5 linked regions of the Ovis aries genome follow. The protein of the gene in region 3 purifies or fractionates together with the protein of the main gene of each other region. This does not show direct contact. Links are inferred from orthologs where the notes say so. Each region holds a gene or a part of one and is shown on either strand. Other genes may lie near its edges. The genes, in order: USP15, RNF111, SMAD7, ACVR1B and TGFBR2.

Region 1 (4,282 bases), on a different chromosome or scaffold from region 3:
AGCAGGAACTGGAAGCTGTTTTCAGACTTTCAAATCAAGGATGCAAGAATACAAAATAGTATTACTTCAAAAAAAAAAAGCAATCCTAATGCTGATACACACAAATTATACTACCCTGACTTGGAAGGGTTCAACACTTATTAGTATATTACACCCATTTTCTGCATTCCCACCAAATGAGTTAGCATAGAGGCTGAAAATTAAACGAGAGATCATGCTGGAATTCTTATCCATCCTTTAGACTTTTCACATCATGTTATCTTACAGTCAAATCGCTGGACATCTTCATGCTTGGAATTACTTACGCAGTTTTGCCACAATTCATTTCTGAAACACATATTTAGGTCATTCTTGTTAGGCAGCACTAGGTGTACAAAGCGCTAGCCACTAGATGTACAAAGGGGTTGTTTTTTGTTTGTTTTAAATGAATTAGTGCAGCCTAGTTTCTATGTTAGTTTAGGCTTTCGTGGGGTCGCAAAGAGTCGGACACGACTGAGCTGAGCTGAAGGAGTGGTAATTAGTGTACTATACTGGACAGCGAGCCAGTGTGCACGTGAAGCTGGATTATAAACTGGCCTCTCCACTTGCTGTGTGACCTTGGCATTTGATTGTTGAGACTCGATTTTCCCCTTTTTGACATAATCGGCTTCAACTAATTGCTGGTATTAGCTACTTTCAAGTGCACACACCATGGGAAGGTGTGGCTAGGAATACGTCACTTCACAGTATCTAGGAGAATGGGTTTCTTGCCTGTTTTGGCTCCTTTACTTTAGTACCTGGCACTATTCGATACATATTTTACACCTTGTTCACCGAGGAACTGGAACATGTTTTTCACTGCAGCTTAGCTATCTGGGTGTGCCTGGGGAGGCGTCACAAAGAGCCTATAAAAGGTCTCCACCTACAGCAGGAGTAGGAGCGCAAGAAAGCCCAGAAAGAGCGCTGCGGCTAAGCGTTCGGCTTCGGGTCGCTAGATTTGGCCCAATCTTCACCGAGTTTAGGTTCTGAGACTCGCAACGGAGAGACTCGAGTCACAGACCTGTTACAAATTTTCTGCCATATTTCAGCCGTCCCCACGCCCCCCGCCCCGCCCCACCCTCAAGCGTGAGTGAATGCGCAAATAAGGGTTTTCAGGCGTCTGTGGGAAAGACGGAGGGGACGGCAGAAGGCAGGATGGACAGGGCGGTGGCACCGCTCAAATGAGCCAGGATCCAGGCCCCACAGCAGAAAGTTAAAACCAGGCGTTCCCGGGTCGTAGGAGGCCGAGGCGAGCTGCTGGACGGGCGGGGGCCGATGCGAGGCAGCCGACCACGGCGGAGCACTCACTCCGCCCGGGGCCAACGCCGGTCCGGAGGCGCACCCCCCCCCCCGCCTTACGTCTCGTTTGGTTTCGACCTGCCGACTGGGAGGGGCCGCGGGACGCCATTCCCACAATGCTCTGGGGCGTGCCGCCGCCGTCGCTGCCGCCTCCGCTGCCGCTAGTGGAAGAAGATGGCGGAAGGCGGAGCGGCAGATCTGGACATCCAGCGGTCTGACATCGCGACGCTGCTCAAAACCTCGCTCCGGAAAGGGGACACCTGGTGAGGGAAAGAGGTTGAGGTGGCTGCGGTTGCCCGAAGATGGTGGGGGACTCGGTGGGAACTGCGGGCTGGTGTCTCGCTGGTGACAGGTGCGGGCAGGTCCGGCGGCGGCCGCCTCAGGCAGCAGGATTTTGGCCGCTTCCGCAAGGTTGGGGCAAAGACTGGACCCGAAATGAGGGCCACGGTTCATGGCTCGTCGAGGCATGCTGAAAGGCTTGCGGGGAGCGGCGGCGGCGGCTCGTGCGGTTCTCCTTGTCCTTCTTCCTCTGGTTGTGCCGCTCCCACTTCAGGCCTTCCCGAACGATAGGTTACTCTCGTTCAGTGTGAGACTCTCACTTAATGTTTGACAGGTCCTGGTCTCGCGGCTAATCACGATCTCACCCGCTTCACTTCTTTAGTCATTTCCTTTCCCTGCATTGTCGGCATCCAAGTTCCCCTATTCTGATTCTCGTATTCTTCCGGGAGGCCGGCTGCAGGATGTTTGCGGTTCTTACTACACAGGTGGCATGTGTCAGGGCGCCGCTTAAGAGAAAGGAACCTAGTTCCTAGTTCCTTGTCAAAAGGAGGGAGAGGAGTACTGAACCTTAGGCTTCTGAGTGGTACCACGTGGTCTTGTGCTTTAGTGGAGGCTTGATAGACGCCAGCAGCGTTTCTCTTAGAAGTGCAGTCCTTCCCTCTCACTGGAAGGATAAGTTAGGCCTGCAAGAAGTAGATAAGTCCACTTGAAGCTTCAGTCACTTGCTAACATTCAAACTTATAAAATACCAAGGGATATACTTAAAATATCGAAGGAAGTATTTGTAGATTTTAATATTTGTGGGCCATATCAAGTGGTAATCAAAATAACTTAAGTATGTGAATATGTAACCTAAAATGCTCTGTTTCATTAGGAAGGATCATGTGCTTCTTTATTATAATAAAAGTTATTTTCACTTTTCCATCGTCACCATAACAGTTGTGTATAATATGCAGCGTGTTTTTTCATTTCCTCATTATGGCTTAGTGGAAGGAGGGTAAGATTTAGACTCGTTAGGTTAGCCTTTCCACCACTTAGCTTGCAGTGTGACTTTGAGGAAAGTTAATTCAAATTGCATCTCAATGATTTCATCTACGAAATGGACAGAATAATTTCATTTAGGGGTTTATCCTGATTCAGTGAAATAGTCTACAAGATTTTCTGCCTTGATATAACATTAAGTTTTAGTTACCTTCTTATCACCACCATTTCTGTTAAAATGCTGTGGTATTAGAATCATTGTCAAGTAAGCTAGAATCACTGTCAAGTAAGCTAGTAGATGACAGACTTGGGACTTGAATTTAAATACTTTGGTCCAAGTTTTGGTACTTTTTCTTATTTTGTTAGGCCACACTGTAAGTTTTATATGATTAAAAATCCCTGAGTGTAAACATATACGTGTTGGATTACAGCAAAAAATATGGTTTAATAATCATTTTGTTCATAAGGGAGTGTTCCTATGATGTTAATTACTGGGGAAATTGGACATTTCCTAGGACATTTTTATTTACCTTTTCCTGTGAATTGTAAAAAATGAAATCAATCCTTCTTCTTGTTTGTTAAAGAACATTTTAACATTCTTAATTTACCTTGCCTAATACCACCTTATACAAAGGTAAATGTGGATTTTCATGAAATACAAGTCTACAATTTAATATATTTGTTGATGTTCAGTCGCTAAGTTGTGTCTGACTCTTTGTGACTCCATGGACTCTAGTGCGGCAGGCTTCCCTGTCCTTCTCTGTCTCCTGGAGTTTGCTCTAACTCATGTTCATTGAGTTGGTGATGCTATTTAATTTAATATATAGATATTACTTTTATGTATATTACTCCTTGTTACTGTTGTTGTGGTTTTGATATACTGAGTAATAATTGGTGGTGTTAACCATAAAGGATGACCAAAGCAGTATGGATATTGTGACCATTAAAGTTTAGCATTTTTATTTTTGACAAAGTTACTGTAAATCATTTTAAAGATCTGTTGATATTTATAAGAGTAAATACAGGAAGTTCATAAATTTGAGGCATTTTAGTGCTTCCATCTTAAAAGAAAACTGAGGCCCAGACATTTAATTAACAGCAGAATATGCAAACTTTTATCCTCACAATTGATTTCCCCTCTCATTTACAGGAAAAAAATACAGGAAAAGATGGTACTGGGATGCTCCAGAAACTAATTTGGTTTATATGTGAGCCAGTTTACTTGGAATTAGCAAGTGAAACCTATCAAAAAAGGAATTAGCAAAAGTTTAATTCAGAATTTTAAGGAGAATAATTTAAGTATGAATTTGATAATGTGTTCATGAGTACAGAATTCGTAAAGATATTTAATGGTTTAGTTGTCGCTTAGGTTCATGTTTTTGGTACTCATTAAAACTTGTTAAACAGTTATTTCTCTTTTTAAAGTCTTAAAAAAGCCTTGGGTTAGTCATTTATGGGTGGGCAAATTATGTTTGTTTTTTAATAGCTGAAATGGGCCGTATGCAAATGAAACATTTTCTTGGCATATGTATGTTACCAACTTGAAAAGACTGATTGGACTATTAAGAAAAAATGATAGATTTACCATGAGTTTATTCTTGAAATGTTAATAGTAACATTTCATGTTATAGTCAAATACATTCAAGTAAGTAAAGATCATTAATTAGGTTGTGAGCACTTTGCAGAAAAGGACTGCCTCTTACTA
Region 2 (4,215 bases), on a different chromosome or scaffold from region 3:
CCCCGACCTTCCTTTCTTTTTGGAGACAGATTTACAAAGTTCAAATCAATTAGACACCTGCTATTTTCATCACCGAATTTTTTTTTTTTTAATTTTCAAAAATCACTGCAGATGGTGACTGCAGCCTCCTTGGAAGAAAAGCTTTGACCAACCTAGACAGCATATTTAAAAACAGAGACATTACTTTGCCAACAAAGGTCCATCTAGTCAAAGCTATGGTTTTTCTAATACTCATGTATGGATGTGAGAGTTGTACCATAAAGAAAGCTGAGTGCGAAGAATTGATGCTTTTGAATTGTAGTGTCGGAGAAGACTTGAGAGTTCCTTGGACTGCACGGAGATCAAACCAGTCAATCCTAAAAGAAATCAGTCCTGAATATTCATTGGAAGGACTGATGCTGAAACTGCAATACTTTTGCTACCTGATGCAAAGAACTGACTCATTGGAAAAGACCCTGATGCTGGGAAAGATTGAAGGCAGGAGAAGGGGATGACAGAGGATGAGATTGTTGGATGGCATCACCTACTTGATGGACATGAGTTTGAGCAAGCTCCAGGAGTTGGTGATGGGCAGGGAAGCTGGGCATGCTGCAGTCCATGGGGTCACAGGGTTGGACTTGACTGAGTGACTGAACTGAATGGATTCTTTTTCCATATAGGTTATTACAGAATATTGAGTAGAGTTCCCTATGCTATTCAGTAGGTTCTTGTTGGTTATCCATTTTACAGATAGTGCTGTGTACATGTCAACCCCAAACGCCCCATCTATCCCTATTCCCAACCCCTTCCCCAAACCTCTAAGTTCACTCACTGGAATTTGAAAGGAAGTTTTACTGATTCCAAGGCCTACATCCCTTTTGCCTACAGCCTATTAATGCAAGTAATGAAGCATCTGTTGTCTCCTGATTTTTATAAAATAAGAAAACGTATATGATTGTACAGTTAGTTCCCAGGATATCTATTACCATTTTTTATCTGATTTTGAAAGCAAATTCACCTCAACGGTGATGATCTCATTGGTAAGGATGATTTGAGTACCATTTGCTGTGACAGACTAAACCATGGCGTTTTTGTTCATTACCTTAAGTATAGTTATTAATTCTGTGGTTGTAACTTTCAGTTATGAAAAAAATCAACCAAGATGTAGTCAATATTTTGTTTAATACTGAACGCATTTCAAAAATGAACATAAAACGAGCTTTAGGACTTCGTTAGGTTTCGGCAACAGACTGATAAGGCGAGTACAAAGGGGGAGGGCCAGCGAAGAGGGAGCCGGACGGTGAGAAACAGGCATCTGAGCAAGCGCAGAAACAAACAGATGTTAATGGAGGATTGAAGGCTACTGCGCTCTCACTTTGCGAACTGTCGTAAAGCTTTGAGTGTCGTGCTTCCTCGGTAGAGGAGGGATTGGTTAGGCGGCGGCGACTGGAGAGCAGCAGCAGTGGCGGCGACGGTGGCGAGGTGTTCGGTCTGCGCAGCATAGAAACGCCCGCAGTTTCGGGGAACGAGTTCCCGTGGGACCAAATTAGGCATTCTGACCCTAAGCCGGGTCAGCTGGGCCGAACCAGGCGCTGCCGCTGGTACAGTTTTGGTGGCGGTGACAGACGCTGCTCTTGACCGTAGGGGCCTCTTAGGCCAACATCTGAGGCGCAGATCACTGGCTCTCGACGCATCCTCTTCCCCGCTCACATCTCCTGTCTTCCTTCCTGGGCCAGCGATTCCCAGAGCCTGGGAAGAGGGTGGCTAATGATTCAGGTGAGGGGGCCGGGGGGAGGGGATCGATTGGAGGCCGCGCGTGCGCGCAACGGGGGAGGGGCCGGGCTGGAGGGGAGAAAGAGGAAGGGCTGCGGCCGCGGAAGGCTGGGGTCGGCGGCCGGCCGGTTACTGCTGGCTCCGTTGTGGCTTAGGGTCGAGGTTTCCGCGGAAGATTTAATTGTGTTTGACAGAGCGTTCGTCTACAGACACACCCACCCTCCTCAGTAAAGGACGGTGGGTGAGGGGATTTCTTTCCCCTTTTTGACTCTCTAGAGTCTTAGGACAGGGGCTGAGGACTGAGGCGTGGGAGTGCGATTTGACAATGGAGTGATGAAGGTAACCCGCACCCGGGGAGTTGGAGGGCGCTAAGGCAGCCCTGACGGTTAGGGAGTTGCCTCCTTCTGTGATCAAGGAAACGTAGACCGCAGAACAGCAGAAATACAGACGCGTCAGATTTTGTAAAGAGTTGGTTGGCTGGCCATTAAAAAAGCTTAATATTTTTATTATTATCATTATTTTTTTTTTACAGAGTTTATCAGAGCCGGTAGCAATGTTGTTGTGGAAATATTTGTGCTGCAGAAATGAGGTTTGTCACATAGTTCTTAAATAGGTTAGAGTAGATCTTTACAGATAACTTAACTCAGGTCTAAGTTTTAACATTTAAAAAAATACCAGGAAGTATAGGGTGTTCGTTTAATTTGTTCGTGTTTGTAGTGTGGGGTGACTCCATTGTATTGCATGCTTTCCTGTTTCTTGATTTATGTGCAGGATGAATTTAGAGCTCTCTGGGGAGATAAGATGCCAGCTGACATAGATTTCATTTTATAGTTCATAACGCTTTTTGTACCTGACTTAATCCAAACTTTATTTCATTTGGTGTTTTATGTTTAATTTTCTTGTTTTAGGGATCTCTTTAACCAAAAAGCACAGACTGGGAAAAAGATAACTAAGGTTCCATTTCCTTTCCCATTTCTGTTTTTTTTTTTTTTTTTGTCATTGCTTTCAAATGTTAGTATGTGATTTGGATATCACATACAAGTTTTAAAATACTGATTTCACTAGAGTGAAAGTCTACATTTTGATACTTTGTTACTGTATGTTTTTGGTAAAAATTTTCATGTCAGTGTAAGCAGTTATTTTTCATTTCAAACAATAGCGTTTAGTTGTGTTTATGAGACAGAACAAGTAGAACCCTTTCACTCGGAAAAGAATCTTAATTATTTTTTAATGCCTTGCTTTGTTTTACTCTCGTCCATCTCTTGTCATTTTAACCTTGGACAAATGACATCTCTCCTGTGCATTTATTTGCCTCTACAATTCCTACTAGTATTCTAAGAACTGACAAGGGTATTTATGAATAGGTCTGAATAATATTGTAGGGAAACTAGGAAGAGTAGAGCCTCTTCTTGTTTATCAGGGTTGCTGTATCTTATGTGTATGGATCTTTCTGTCACTTTCCCCCTTAGTGTCTTTCGGTCACTTGCATGTTAGTTCTTCACTGGAGTTGGTTTTTGAAGAAAGATAAAGTAAGAAATAATTTCGTTTTGAATGCATCATAGTGGAAGTTTCACCTTCACAGGTTTCACATCAGTACTCAATTTCTGCAAGTAGTTGAAAAATAACTATACTGATCTTTAATATAAGAAGTCAACAATTTACTTGTTTAAAATGAAGGAATAATCAGCAGATATTTCTAAATAGTTATTTTCAGTTTAAAATGTAAACTGGAATAGAAACTTGATTGAATCAAACCAGTTAGTTTTTTTCAGACGTTTATTGTATTATTTTGTCAAAAAGGGGTTTCTATAACATGCTTTACTTAGAGTATAATTACAGGTGTCCTTGTTTTGACTTTTCCTCTGGTGACTAGGATTTCAATAGGAAAAAAAGAAGTGACATTACTAAAAATGATGTAAAGAATATTATAACTTGATATTAGCATTCTATGAGTGACATTATCTTATGAAAGAGTATAGGGTTGGAGACAGGAGATACGGATTTTAGATGTAGCTTTGCTTTCTGTTCATTAGGTCTGTGACTTTGTATGACCACCCTGGGCCTCAGATCTCTCTCAGCTGTCAAATGAGAAGTGTGGGGCAGATAACTCTAGTTTTCTCCAGGTCTCAAATTTAATGGTTTGCATTTTTAGTTAGGTGTTTTTAGTATTAATTGTATTCATCATGACCCATTCCCCAGAAAGAAATGCTATCTGAAAATGTAAAATTCTTCCATGGTATATGTATATTAGAGATGGGGTGGGGGGAGGGAGAAGAAAAAAAGCGAGTGAGCTGTGGTCTAAATAATACTTCTGTCCCTTTGTAGATATTAACGCCTAATTTAATAGCTCTCATATGATACTAAAAAAAATGAAACTTTATTTTACTCCTGGTAATGTGCTTTAAATCATTCTGAATACATTTTCTTTCAGAAACCTGTAATCATTGTTCAGTAAAAGTCCAG
Region 3 (3,283 bases):
AGACCTCCACCCACTACCACTGAGCCCCCGCCTCATCTCAACCCCAGGGCTTCAGCCCTCAGGGAATCTGTCCTGGAACCCAGGGTGGCAGTGACCTTCCTCTGGGAAAGTTGCACTAGTCTCAGGATTTAATGTAAATCGAGGCGTTAACAAGCAGGAAGCAAGGGGCCCAAGCGCTTGGGGCTTTACCTCTCTCAGGGCAACCTCCTCCCCGTCATTTGAGATGACATCCCCTTTTCTCAACTCTTCAGGCTTTAAGAAATCAGCTGCCCTTGCAACTGAGGGCTCCCCAAGGTTGACCCGTTACAAATTGAGGACATCTGCCTAAGGATCTGAGAAAGACCAAGCGGTTCTGGATGTCTCTCCCTTCTCTGCTTCCCCCGGCCAGGCTTCCTCCCCCACCAAGCTCTGGGAGACTCCCAAGAGTCCTGGATTCTGATGGCTGCATCCCACCCTCCCCCCGTCAGAAGAAAAAGGAGCTGGAGGACAACATGGAATCAAGTATACATTTTAAAAACTGTTTAATGGAACATAAACTCCTTTAGAAAAACATTCAGCCAGGTGATAACACCCATAGAAAAAAACACCAATCTTGTGTTTATCTTTTTTTAATTTGGCATTTGTTATTTGCATTTATATTAAAGCAAAGTGCATCTTTTCTTTATTTTGTTTATACACATTGCACAATACATAAATAATGATGCTTATAAAACGTCTTTATATTTACAAGTAATAATATATTTATATATAACATAAAATACATTTTTTCTTTAATAAATCTCAGGGTTTTTTTTTTTTTTCAGGAGTCCTTTCTCTCTCAAAGCACTACAATGCTAAATTTCCAATGAGAATGCTTCTCTTGTTCATTTAAACCTTTGTAGTTAGAAAAATAGCTTATGTTAAAGTCTAAACATGCTCATTGAGCTAAGAGCAGTGTCAACGTATCATACGAGTGTATGAGTTGGTTAGGCGTCAGCTCAGGATGGTACCTTGGGTTAAGATGGACCGACTCCTTCTTGGTGGGAAGGGGTAGGGGGTGGGGGGTAGAGGGCTGCTCCCCTCGCTGGTCTAACAGCGGAGCTCAACACAGGCTGCGGAGGGGAGGAAAGTGCTGAGCTGGCTTTGTGAGTCCAGGAAAAACCTGATGTAACCAGGGCAGGGGAGAGGCGGAGGGGCCTGAGAGGGCGCTGGGTGAGCAATACTGTGACGGGGCTGCCCCGGCAACCCTTGGGAAGCCCATCCCAGAGATGTCCAGGAGCAGATGGCCGAGACAGACAGCTATGACGATGGCAGCGGGGTGGCCAGAGGGGAGTGAGGCAGCAGGAGGAAACGGGTTCTGGTCCGGCCTCTGGTGGGGCGGCTTCGGAGAAGCCTTCGGACAGGCCAATGTCCGAGAAGGGGCAAGGCGGGGTGGGGGCTTCCCCAGGCTCTGGGGACAGAGCCTTCTGCTGGGACACCCGCTGCCCCACTGAGCCTGTCCAAAGGGCAAAGGAGACACAAACCTCTCAGCAGGCAACACGCGTAGGAAACAGAGCACACCACTTTCCCTCGTCTACATACGTGCACGCACAGACGCACTGACGCACGCACACCCCACCCTCTGACAAGGGTAGTGATGGCCCCAAGGGTGGGGCCTGCTCCCCATTTACACGGTATATGGTGGTGCTGATTTTTTTGCTTCCCCTTTTTCGTATAGCAGTGTTCTGCCAACCATACCACTCTCCGCCCCTCCAAACCCCAAGAATTCTTTTCATAAGCTATTTCTCAAAGAACAAAACAACATAAACAAGGACGACGAGAAGGAGGGTAGGCGGTGGGGGGGGGGGGGGGGGGGGAATAATGACCAAAGAGTTTGCATGAAAAGCAAGCACTCAGGAGGGAAATATTAGCAGCAAAGTAGTTTGGACTGGGCCCGCTCTGCCCCCGCTCTGCCCTCTCCCCGCGTGGCTACCGGCTGTTGAAGATGACCTCCAGCCAGCACGGGCAGCTGCTGATGAACTGGCGAGTGTAGCACTGGCCCCAGCCCTTCACGAAGCTGATCTGCACGGTGAAGCCAGTCCACGGCTGCTGCATGAACTCGTGGTCGTTGGGCCGCTGCAGGCTGTACGCCTTCTCGTAGTCAAAAGCCTTGATGGAGAAACCGGGGAACACTTTGTGTACCAACAGCGTCCTGGAGTCCGGGTTGTCCAGTGTGGCTGACTTGATGAAGATGGGGTAACTGCTGCGGTTGTACACCCACACGCCGTCCACTTCCCGCGTGAGCTGGATGCCACAGCCGATTTTGCTCCGTACTTTCTGCACCAGCTGACTCTTGTTGTCCGAATTGAGCTGTCCGAGGCAAAAGCCATTCCCCTGAGGTAGATCATAGAAGATGTCCAGGGAGGGCTCCTGGACACAGTAGAGCCTCCCCACTCTCGTCTTCTCCTCCCAGTATGCCACCACGCACCAGTGTGACCGATCCCCAGGCTCCAGAAGAAGTTGGGAATCTGGAAAACAGACAGAAAAAAGGCAGACCTAATCAGTGGTGATGCAGACTGGCCTTCTCCTCTTCCTCCTGAAACCAAGACACACACATACATACACCCCCATGATTGGTCTTTGTTTCGGTGCAAGACAGGAGGAGGTATGAGGTGGCTGGCTGTGATGCAGGCTGGACAGTCCTCCTACGGGGAGTCTGGAAAGCTCGACCCCGTGATGGAAAAGCCTTGCCTCTATGCACGGGGCTCACTGGGGAGTCTCTTCCCTTCATCCCCCCCATCCCCCCGACTCTATCAAGAACACAGGACATGTGCCCACCTGGCCAAAGCCAAAGCCCCATCCTTGCAGAGCCCAGAAGCAAAGACCTCTCAGTAAGTTGGCTGGCCCTGGTTTTAGGGCTAGAGAAGGTGTTATACATGGATGGTCCAGAATTTCAGTTCTTTTCAACGGGATGGAACCTTGAAGGCCAGAGGCTCCAGCCTCAAGTCATCCTCATGAGAAAACCTGGACTCAGAAAGCTTTTTTTCTCTCAGGCTCCAGGGACGAAAGAGCCAGACCTGGACCCCAGGAACACCTGCTAGAGTCTCTGAGCCTGTCACCCGGTTCTCAGATCAGTGCCTTGGTCATAAGGGATCACTGTCCAGAAAAACTTTAGTGGAGGTGGTTTAGGGTGAAAAAAAACAACTAGCTTCTTAATAGAAACACAACTTTCAGCGTGTTCGTCAGCAGCAGATCTGTACACAAAGGGTGAGTTCACGTCTCCACGCCAAATCACAGCATGCACCCTGGTGTCACAGCCCAGACA
Region 4 (4,308 bases), on a different chromosome or scaffold from region 3:
AAATGTCTCCCTTGCAGCTTTCTGTCTTAAGAAAATGAATGTCATGTTCTCCTGCTACTAATTCAGCTTTACATTGTTAAATGCTAAAGTGAAAATGCCAAAGGTAGGCCTTAGAATGTGGTCCACCTATTAAATGGATGCAGTTTATAACCTGGAATTCGCGCTCTGTACCACTGGCCTTTTACTAAGTTGCTACTAGTTCACTATTTAACACAGACACCTATCCCTTGCTTTCCTCACATCCTGTCTTCAGAGGCATCAGGGCTGCCTGGCCCTGCTGCTCCTCCCGGCCCACCTAGGGGAGCACGACAGAGGAAGCGTGGGGAGGACAGTAATCAACTTCTAGTTATCTCACAGCCTCTATGTTCCCAGAACTGATGCTTCACTTTAAGCCTTTTGCAACAGTGGTCTCTGTAGCATGCACTATTGGCAACGAGATGTGTCCCGGAAAAAACTGTAGTGTCTGGCCAAGTTTGAAGGCCTTCGAGAATGTTTGCTGGATACACAACCTAATTTCCAATTAACCAAAAAAAGAAACCAACTCCCTACTATGCCCACCCATCCTCATCCCAACAAACATCCATTTTAGGAAGGTTACCAAAAAAATGAACCTGTCCCATTCAGAACCAGATAGATCATCAATTAAACATTCTTAACTAGGCTCATGACAACAAGAAATATCCCACCAGACACTACACCAAACCAAGAGGGAAATGGCTGTTAAGAATTTCAGATACATTAGCAACAGGATAAAAATTCCTAAGGAAGAAATTTACAGATTTAGTCATACACATGTAAAATGACAAACCTGAAGGCTGAATCTCCTTATTTACTACCCTACTAGTGAAATAACATCATGATACACACTCCAAAAACATGGCCCCAAAGTAAGGCCCAGCATACATTATTCATGAAAATCATTAACTTACCACGAATGTCAGGCTGTGTTCACATACCTTCACCACATCTATCAGACCCCACAGCGCGTTACCTCTGCCACAGAGCAGCGAGATCCAGGAACACACACGACAGCCTTAGCAGAAGCATTAACCAGTGAACAAAGACCCCACCACACAGGCTGCACCACTGGAAACAAACATCAAGGCTGGAGGGAATGAACTTGTTTGTGAGACGCCAAAACGGGATCGCGTCTTTGGTTGATTGTCTCATTTCTGAAAGAGATCTGAACCCGCCTGAGAACCATTATTTTTTGGTGGAGAGAAGAGAACCACGGAACACACGCTTGATCTCGCGCTGCTAGAAGGTTAGGGGCTGCTGAGAAGTCAGAGCAGCAGGCTTTGCACATCGGGAGCAAAGACAGTCCTGACTGTCTCTCCCAGTTCCAACTGCGGGTCAATAATCACTCCAATATAAAGGCCAAATATAACCTTCATCTGCTACCCCAATGCCAGCACAGGGTTGAGACGACTCCCTTAAATATTTTAGGGTTTCATCTGCATTCCTCAAGCCCGTAAAGCCTCACAAACGAGACACTCAACTGAGTGTCCCACAGAAAGGCACCACTTTGGTAGTGAGAAGGATGGGGGTGCTGCCAGGGAGCAGAAGGCTGTGGGAGTTGGAAGGTGAGGGGTGTGCAAGGGTGGGGGAAGACGTAGGGGGAAGGGTTGGGAAGAGGGCTGGTGTGGGAAGGTAAATAAATCCTGACCAAGGGCCAACAGCTGGTCTGGTGGTGGGGTCTTTAAATAATCTTGGGGGTGGGAGGCAGGTTCCAGGATGTCACCTGAAAGGCATCCACAAAGTGACCAGCAGAATGGACCCCCTGAGGTGGGGTGGGAGTGGCGAGGGAGAAAGCAAATACACCTAGATGCAGATTAACCGTTCTGGAACTAGGTCTCCTAGGGTTAGAGAGATTCCAAAGCCAAGCTCCAGATAGGGGCCTGTTCGTCCCATTTCCTCCACTGAGCTTCCCCGGGGCATGTGGACTGGAGGAGGGGGGTTGGCCCCACTGAACTCAAGGGACTGCCCGAGAGGGAAATGTGACTCGCTTTCCCAGAACGTCAGGGAGGAAGGAGAGGGAGGGGAAGAAGCACCCCAACTGCAGGAGGGAGCTGACGGAAAGGTTGAAGACCCCCTTCCCCTTTTATCTATGGTGCGCAAGGGCTCTCAACGTCAGGATACCTCGGAGGAGCAAAGACCCCATCGCCGAAGCCCCACAATCTTGGCGGGAGAAAAGGCGCCCCCCCCCAACTCCCCCCTGGAGCATCTGGAGGGAGGGAATGAAGACCCCCGCCCCTGGACATGCTGAGCGGCAGAAACGTGGATCTCCAAACCTCGGGGAAGGAAGCCTGCACTCCCTTCCATGGAACATGGGGGTGCTGGGAGCGCGACCCTCGAGAGCTCCCCAGATCCAGTCCCTCCTGGGAAAGGGCTCGGGTCCCCAGGGGCCCGGCGTGAGCTCGGTCCCGGCGAGGCGGCCGCGCCTCGGGGATCGGGGGAAGCCGACCCAGGTGAGGGGTCCCCGCGACTCCCCCGCGCCCCCCGCCCGGCCATATTGTGCGCGTGGGGAGGGGGCGCGCTGTAGCCAGGGGCCGCGGCGCGAGGCCTCGCCCTCGCCCGGCCCGCTCCATCCCGGCCCCCGCCCCGCCCCGGGACTCACCCTGGATCCCCCGGGGCCCGGACCCGCCGCTGCCGGCAAGCAGGAGGACAACAAGGGGGAAGAAGGAGGAGGCTCCGGCCGACTCCGCCATAGTAACCGCCGCCGCCGCCGCCGCCGCCGCCGCCGCCGCCGCCGCCGCAGCCCAGCAGCGCCCAGCGCGCGCGCGCGCGCCCCCGGCGCCTCCCCTCCTCCCGCGGCCCGGCTCCCGCCTCCCTCTCCTCCACCCGGCGCCGGCACGTGCGCTCCCGGCGGAGCCGGCGCCGCGGCCGCCGCGCGCGCCCCCGAAGGGCGGGGCCGGGTGCGCGCGGGCGCCCGCCTTAAAGGGGAGTGTCCCCGTTAAAGGGGTGGGAGGGGCTCGCGCCTCGGCCAACCTCACCCGTGAGTGCCAAGCACGGCGCGGAGGCCGAGCCCCACACACGCGGCCTCCGCCCAGTTCTGCACCCCCAGCAGCGCGGCGTGATCTTATCAGCACCGACCCCCATCCCTCGCATAGAACGTTCTACGAGTCCCGTGCGCTTGTTCCCTTTTCCTTCATGCCTACTGCTTAGCCTCAAGCACCCATCACATCCCACTGGGATCGTCGCAACCATCTCCTAATTAGTCTCCCATTCCCAGTGGCCCCCTGCGATCCGCAGGACGCACAGCCACGTGTGTGATCGAATCATGGGATGCCCCTTCTCAGAACGTACAGGGCTTTTTAATGACAGTATTCAGTCTTGGTGAGGGTGCTGCGTGAAGCACTCCCGTGCTGTTGGTAGGTAGAAACCTTTTAGTAAACAACTTGGCATTGTGTATCAAATGTCTTAAAATGTTCATACCCCAGCCTCCCATCTTCAAGCAATAATAGAGATGAGGACAGGTTTTTGTGAGAAATGTTAACTATTACTTGTTTATCACTGTAAAAGCTGAAAACAAATAGTATAGAAAACAAATTATGTCCCGTCCATACGATGAAACATTATTTACTAATTAAAAATTATGTTTGTAAAAATAATGATGTGAGGAGATACTCATGAGATAATGCTAAATGAGAAAGCAAAATAGAAAACTACTTACAGTATTGTTCTGATTTTGTTGATACTGTATAACTGCAAGGAAAAAAGACTGATAGGAACTTAGTCAATATCTGAAGTTATCACCAGAATAATTTTTTTATTTTTTCTTTAAACATTTCAGTATTTTCTAAATATTTTGCAAATAAGCTACTGTTACTTTCAAATTTAGGGGGAAATGCTTATTAACGGTAAACTGAATCGCTCATATCTTTTTGAAAATATTCACTTTAAAAGAGTTTGAAATCATGAAAAGGACAGAGTTTTGGACCCAGAGTTCTGGATCTGAATTCTCGTTTTCTTACTAACTGGCATGGAAACTTGGGCAGATTTTTTAACCCCCATTAGCAGAGTCTCATCAAATGAGAATTAGAAGTGGAGAGGATGCCGAAAGGTGGGAGTGGGAAGGTGGAGCTTCTCAAATGGAATCCTCACCTTCAAAGCTGTTACCAACCTGAAGAATACCCCTCCTAATATAAAGAAAAAAACTAGGCTGCAGACACCCCAGACACCACTCACACACAAACACACACATGCAAAGTTTTACAGAGGCACTGTCTACACATTGATCAGTAACTGAATGATCAAACACCTTATTTTTATAGTGCTCTGCCTCTGTATATTCTTATAAGTGCTCAT
Region 5 (3,967 bases), on a different chromosome or scaffold from region 3:
TTGTGTTGATAATGCAAATGGAGACCATGTAGCAGGCATGCTGGTTCTACAGACAGCAGTGTTTCAAGGTGGGGTGCTGCCCTGAAAAAAAGACCAGGCATCCAAAATGTGATGAGCATCTTATACAAACCGCAACTGCTTAAAAATAAGATGTCATTAATGCAAGTGGCCTAGAGGTAAGAAATGTGCTTTCTGGGAACAAAAGCAAATAGACCAAATTCTAGGCCTAGTGGTTTCCAGAACCCTGACAAAATCAGCAGTGATTTGGGAAAAGAAATTTATCTGTACTGACATTTTCATCCACACTGAGTCCTCAACAAGGATATCCTGTTAGGTATTTGAAAAGTAAAAGTTATATTTTTCAGATCTGAAGAGTTTTCAGACATTTAAAGTTGTCCCCCAAAGAGCAATTACTTAATTTGAGGCATTTCGGATAAGTGAGTCTACTAAGTCAAAAACAAAAACTCAGATACCTTTAAGCATATAGCTTAGTGAAGTTTGTCCGTGCACTGAAATCCTTGGCTCACCTGTCAATATCCTAAGCATAAGATGGAATTTTTTTTTACGTAACCCAAAAGAAGGCTATAAAAAAATCTTATTTCTTCCCTAACTATGCATTAAGATATACTGAAAAAATGTCATGACAGGTTACTAATTATGTTAGGAAAATCCTGAAACCACTGACGTCCATGGAAAATTATATACAAGTGGAATTAGGTTGCCTATCTTGATTACAGCTACCTTTGACCTTTAACTATCTTCAAAAATTTAACTTCAAATGAATACCAATTACAAGGGTTAAACCATTTTGTGGCTTTAATTCCATAAAAATATGAAATCTGTGGGTTTTGTAATGCTGTTTAAAAGCCCAAATAAAAAGCCAGTTGGCTTTTAAGCTAATTGTTTAAAAGTGTGTATATAGATGAACTGAGACTGACTCATGAACTACTGGGTCTGGAATTTGCAAATCATAAATCTGATCCTTGTAAACAAACCTGAGCAGAATCAGGGCCCACTAATTTCCTTCTTTCATAAATTGAAACAAAAGTTTTAATCATTTCTAATGTAAACTGAAAACTAAGGGTGCCATTTAAAATATTAGCAAAATATAACTTGGTTTTTTAAGAGTCTGGAGTATAATCAGAGAGTCAAACATTCTGGTACTGCAATGCGAGAAAGCACCCAAGAATAAAACAGTGGACTGTTAGTAAACCGTAGATCTCAAATTTGTGTTAGGATCTTTTTGTTTACAATATTGCTTCTTCCTCGTTCTATTAAAAACTCCCATCTCCATGCCACCTTCAGCATAAAACATCATTCTTGAAAGCTGTCCGTCCGCTTCAAGGACTAGGGAATGTCCCGTGTAGGAACCCCTCCCCATTTCTTCCAGATGAAACCAAGCGTGCTCTGCCTCTGGCCCTTGGTAAACAGAATGTGTCCTCGAGAGGGCAGGGGGCTGTCCGACCCTCCACATTTCATCCCTGCTCCCCGCGGGGCATCTCCAAGTCATCAAAAGCAAGGAGAGAGACACAAGACGATAAAGATGAAGGGAGCTAAAACGATCCAGACCTAACCGCGTCCTTCCGCACACGAGGAGACTGAGGCCCACGACGGTCCAAAGACTCTGGGTCTGTTACCAGATCCCAGATGCATATACTCAGGTCTGCAGCTACGCGTTGCAAAATTTCTAACTGTCGAGGTCTCAGGGGTTGGATACTTTTCATAACAAATCCTTAAGAGCGCAATTTCTGCATTTTCCTCCCCTCAAAACCCTCTAGACATCAAGATCAGGTGGGCAGGGGTATTTAAGATTTTAACCCCTCTGTTTCCACCAAACCACTGCAGAGAGCCTTCAAGCCCGAAGGCGGGGCTGTCCTGCTCCCGGCAACATCTCAGGCACCCAGCACCTAGCAGGCAGTCGGTAAACACTCCGCCTTCCACCTGACAAGCTCCCCCTCTGGCCTCATCCATGCCTACCCCAAGTGGAACCAGACAAGTTTCCTTTGGCAATCGCTCTCTTCCTCGAAACTTTGCTAAAGTTACTCCGGGCCAAGAGGCCGGTCCGGAGGCATGTGACCCTGGGAAGGAGCAGAGAATGGGGGACCCTGCCCTCTCGGGGCGCTGGGCCACCCCAGGCCCGGACCAGGTGTGCCCGCCGCTCACTCCGCGGCCCGCCGCGTCCTGCCTCCGCCGATCACCAACTTCTCAAACTTCCCTTTCCGGGGGTGGGGGCGGCCCGGGACGCAGCGCCCTTCCTGCCCGCACAAAGGGGACCGGGCGCCCCGCGCGCCCCCCGCCGAAGCCACTTTCCTGGCCTTGGGAAAGCAAAGCCCACCCGTCCCAGCACAAGGCACCGGGGCACGGGGACCCAGGCCGCGTCCCGGCTTCGGCCCGCCTCCCAGGCCGACTGTCAAGCGCAGCCCGGCGGGGACCCGGGGACCCCGGCGCCAAGTCCGGGCGGGGAGCCACTCACCCGACTTGGGAACGTGCGGCGGGATCGTGCTGGCGATGCGCGTCCACAGGACGACGTGCAGCGGCCACAGGCCCCCGAGCAGCCCCCGGCCCATGGCAGCCCCCGCCGCTCCGCATAGACCGGCCCGAGCGCGCACGCCGCGCCTCCGCGCCCTCCGCACCCGCGCGGGCGCCCAGCAGCGGTGCGGCCAGATGTGGCGGCGCGGGCCGCGGGGAGGCGGCGGCGGGCGAGGCGCGGGGGGACCCGGCGGCCGAGGGGAGCGGAGCTGGAGGCCGGCCCGGCCGGCGGGTGCGCGCGCGGAGTGTCGTCGGGCCCGGCGTGCGAGTGACTCACGACTTCGCCCGGGCGCCGCGGGGGAAACAGGAAACTCCTCGCCAACAGCTGGGCAGGACCTCTCGCCGCCCGGAGCCTGCTCCGCGGCTCGGCTCCCGGCCCTCGCCCTCTCTCGCAGCTGCCAATCACGGCCCCGGGACCGGCCCCTCCGGGGCTTTGGCAAACTTTCAGCGGCCCCTCGCTGCCCTCCACGTTCCCCGCCCCGAGGACTGCTGAGCAATAAGCGCACAAGTTCCAGAAAGTCACTGAACGCAGGGTGTATGCGCACTCTCCAGAGCACCCCCAGCAAGCATCCTCCCACTTCCCTACATCCCTCTTCGGGCTGCTCCGAAGTGCCTCAGAGCGGGGTTTTCAAACTTCGAGTGGCTACCCAAGAGTAGATGCTGAAATCCGAGTTGTTAGCACAAGCTGTTTTTCCCCTACTAAAGTAGTATTTCCTCATTAGACTTTCGTTTCAATTAATTGTGTTTGCCTACCTTGTCACATTGTAAAATATTTATCTTTACTGCAGGTGGAACACTTCAGTGTACCCACGGACCCCCTGAAAATCGTGTTAAAAGGCGGCTTCTGCTTCAGCATGTCTTAAGAGGCAGCATTTCTGATGAGCTCTTGGGTGATGCCTCCCAGTTGGAATCGACTCTCTCTCTGGCAGTGAGCAGTTACTAATACAACCCATCACGGAGTGATAACTGTAAGGGGAAGTGTTATCTTCAGAATGTATCGGGTAGGGCAGAAAGTGTGAGAGTAACAGTGGCCTGGGGTCAGCTAAGTGCCAGGGTCTGTGATAGGACAGGACCCTGAGCCCCTCCCTGCAAAAGGGGACATGGGTGAGAGCAGAACAGGCTGAACTTCCAACTTCCCCATCTTGGTAAGGTGGCCAGGTTCGCCCCCACACAATCCTGGTGTATATTTGCTTCAAAGTTGAATTTTTAGCAGGCCCTGCTTCTCTTTCCCATGTGTCCTGGTTAGATATGCTCACCCTACTTCTAGCCCTGAAAGATTTAGATTCAGTACAGCCCTCTGGTCAGGAGATCTTCCAGCAGGTTGCACAATAAAACTCTTTTATCTGAGAGAAAGCTTGTTTGCAGAGGCCGGTGGCCAGCGTTACTGGGAATAAAGGCAACTAGCTCTCCCTGGAAACCCAACCCTGCCATCTTCCCT

What was found.
Region 1: the proteins of SMAD7 (region 3) and USP15 purify together in Homo sapiens (affinity purification with western blotting; 3 studies listed by BioGRID). This does not show direct contact. The link is inferred for Ovis aries from reciprocal best matches to the Homo sapiens genes SMAD7 and USP15.
Region 2: the proteins of SMAD7 (region 3) and RNF111 purify together in Homo sapiens (affinity purification with western blotting; 3 studies listed by BioGRID). This does not show direct contact. The link is inferred for Ovis aries from reciprocal best matches to the Homo sapiens genes SMAD7 and RNF111.
Region 4: the proteins of SMAD7 (region 3) and ACVR1B purify together in Homo sapiens (affinity purification with western blotting; 3 studies listed by BioGRID and IntAct, with this or other methods). This does not show direct contact. The link is inferred for Ovis aries from reciprocal best matches to the Homo sapiens genes SMAD7 and ACVR1B.
Region 5: the proteins of SMAD7 (region 3) and TGFBR2 purify together in Homo sapiens (affinity purification with western blotting; 3 studies listed by BioGRID). This does not show direct contact. The link is inferred for Ovis aries from reciprocal best matches to the Homo sapiens genes SMAD7 and TGFBR2.

Annotation. Positions count from the first base shown.
Region 1 is NC_056056.1:157,401,932-157,406,213, reverse strand, and holds the start of USP15 (ubiquitin carboxyl-terminal hydrolase 15), read left to right. Parts: upstream 1-1,480; 5' UTR 1,481-1,491; coding exon 1,492-1,580; intron 1,581-4,282. UniProt on the Homo sapiens protein: Hydrolase that removes conjugated ubiquitin from target proteins and regulates various pathways such as the TGF-beta receptor signaling, NF-kappa-B and RNF41/NRDP1-PRKN pathways.
Region 2 is NC_056060.1:49,459,526-49,463,740, reverse strand, and holds the start of RNF111 (E3 ubiquitin-protein ligase Arkadia), read left to right. Parts: upstream 1-1,404; 5' UTR 1,405-1,755; intron 1,756-2,284; 5' UTR 2,285-2,336; coding exon 2,337-2,341; intron 2,342-4,215. UniProt on the Homo sapiens protein: E3 ubiquitin-protein ligase. Required for mesoderm patterning during embryonic development. Acts as an enhancer of the transcriptional responses of the SMAD2/SMAD3 effectors, which are activated downstream of BMP.
Region 3 is NC_056076.1:48,924,122-48,927,404, forward strand, and holds the end of SMAD7 (mothers against decapentaplegic homolog 7), read right to left. Parts: intron 2,487-3,283; coding exon 1,948-2,486; 3' UTR 505-1,947; downstream 1-504. UniProt on the Homo sapiens protein: Antagonist of signaling by TGF-beta (transforming growth factor) type 1 receptor superfamily members; has been shown to inhibit TGF-beta (Transforming growth factor) and activin signaling by associating with their receptors thus preventing SMAD2 access.
Region 4 is NC_056056.1:134,372,166-134,376,473, forward strand, and holds the start of ACVR1B (activin receptor type-1B), read right to left. Parts: upstream 2,808-4,308; 5' UTR 2,709-2,807; coding exon 2,618-2,708; intron 1-2,617. UniProt on the Homo sapiens protein: Transmembrane serine/threonine kinase activin type-1 receptor forming an activin receptor complex with activin receptor type-2 (ACVR2A or ACVR2B).
Region 5 is NC_056072.1:5,138,017-5,141,983, reverse strand, and holds the start of TGFBR2 (TGF-beta receptor type-2), read right to left. Parts: upstream 2,807-3,967; 5' UTR 2,568-2,806; coding exon 2,474-2,567; intron 1-2,473. UniProt on the Homo sapiens protein: Transmembrane serine/threonine kinase forming with the TGF-beta type I serine/threonine kinase receptor, TGFBR1, the non-promiscuous receptor for the TGF-beta cytokines TGFB1, TGFB2 and TGFB3.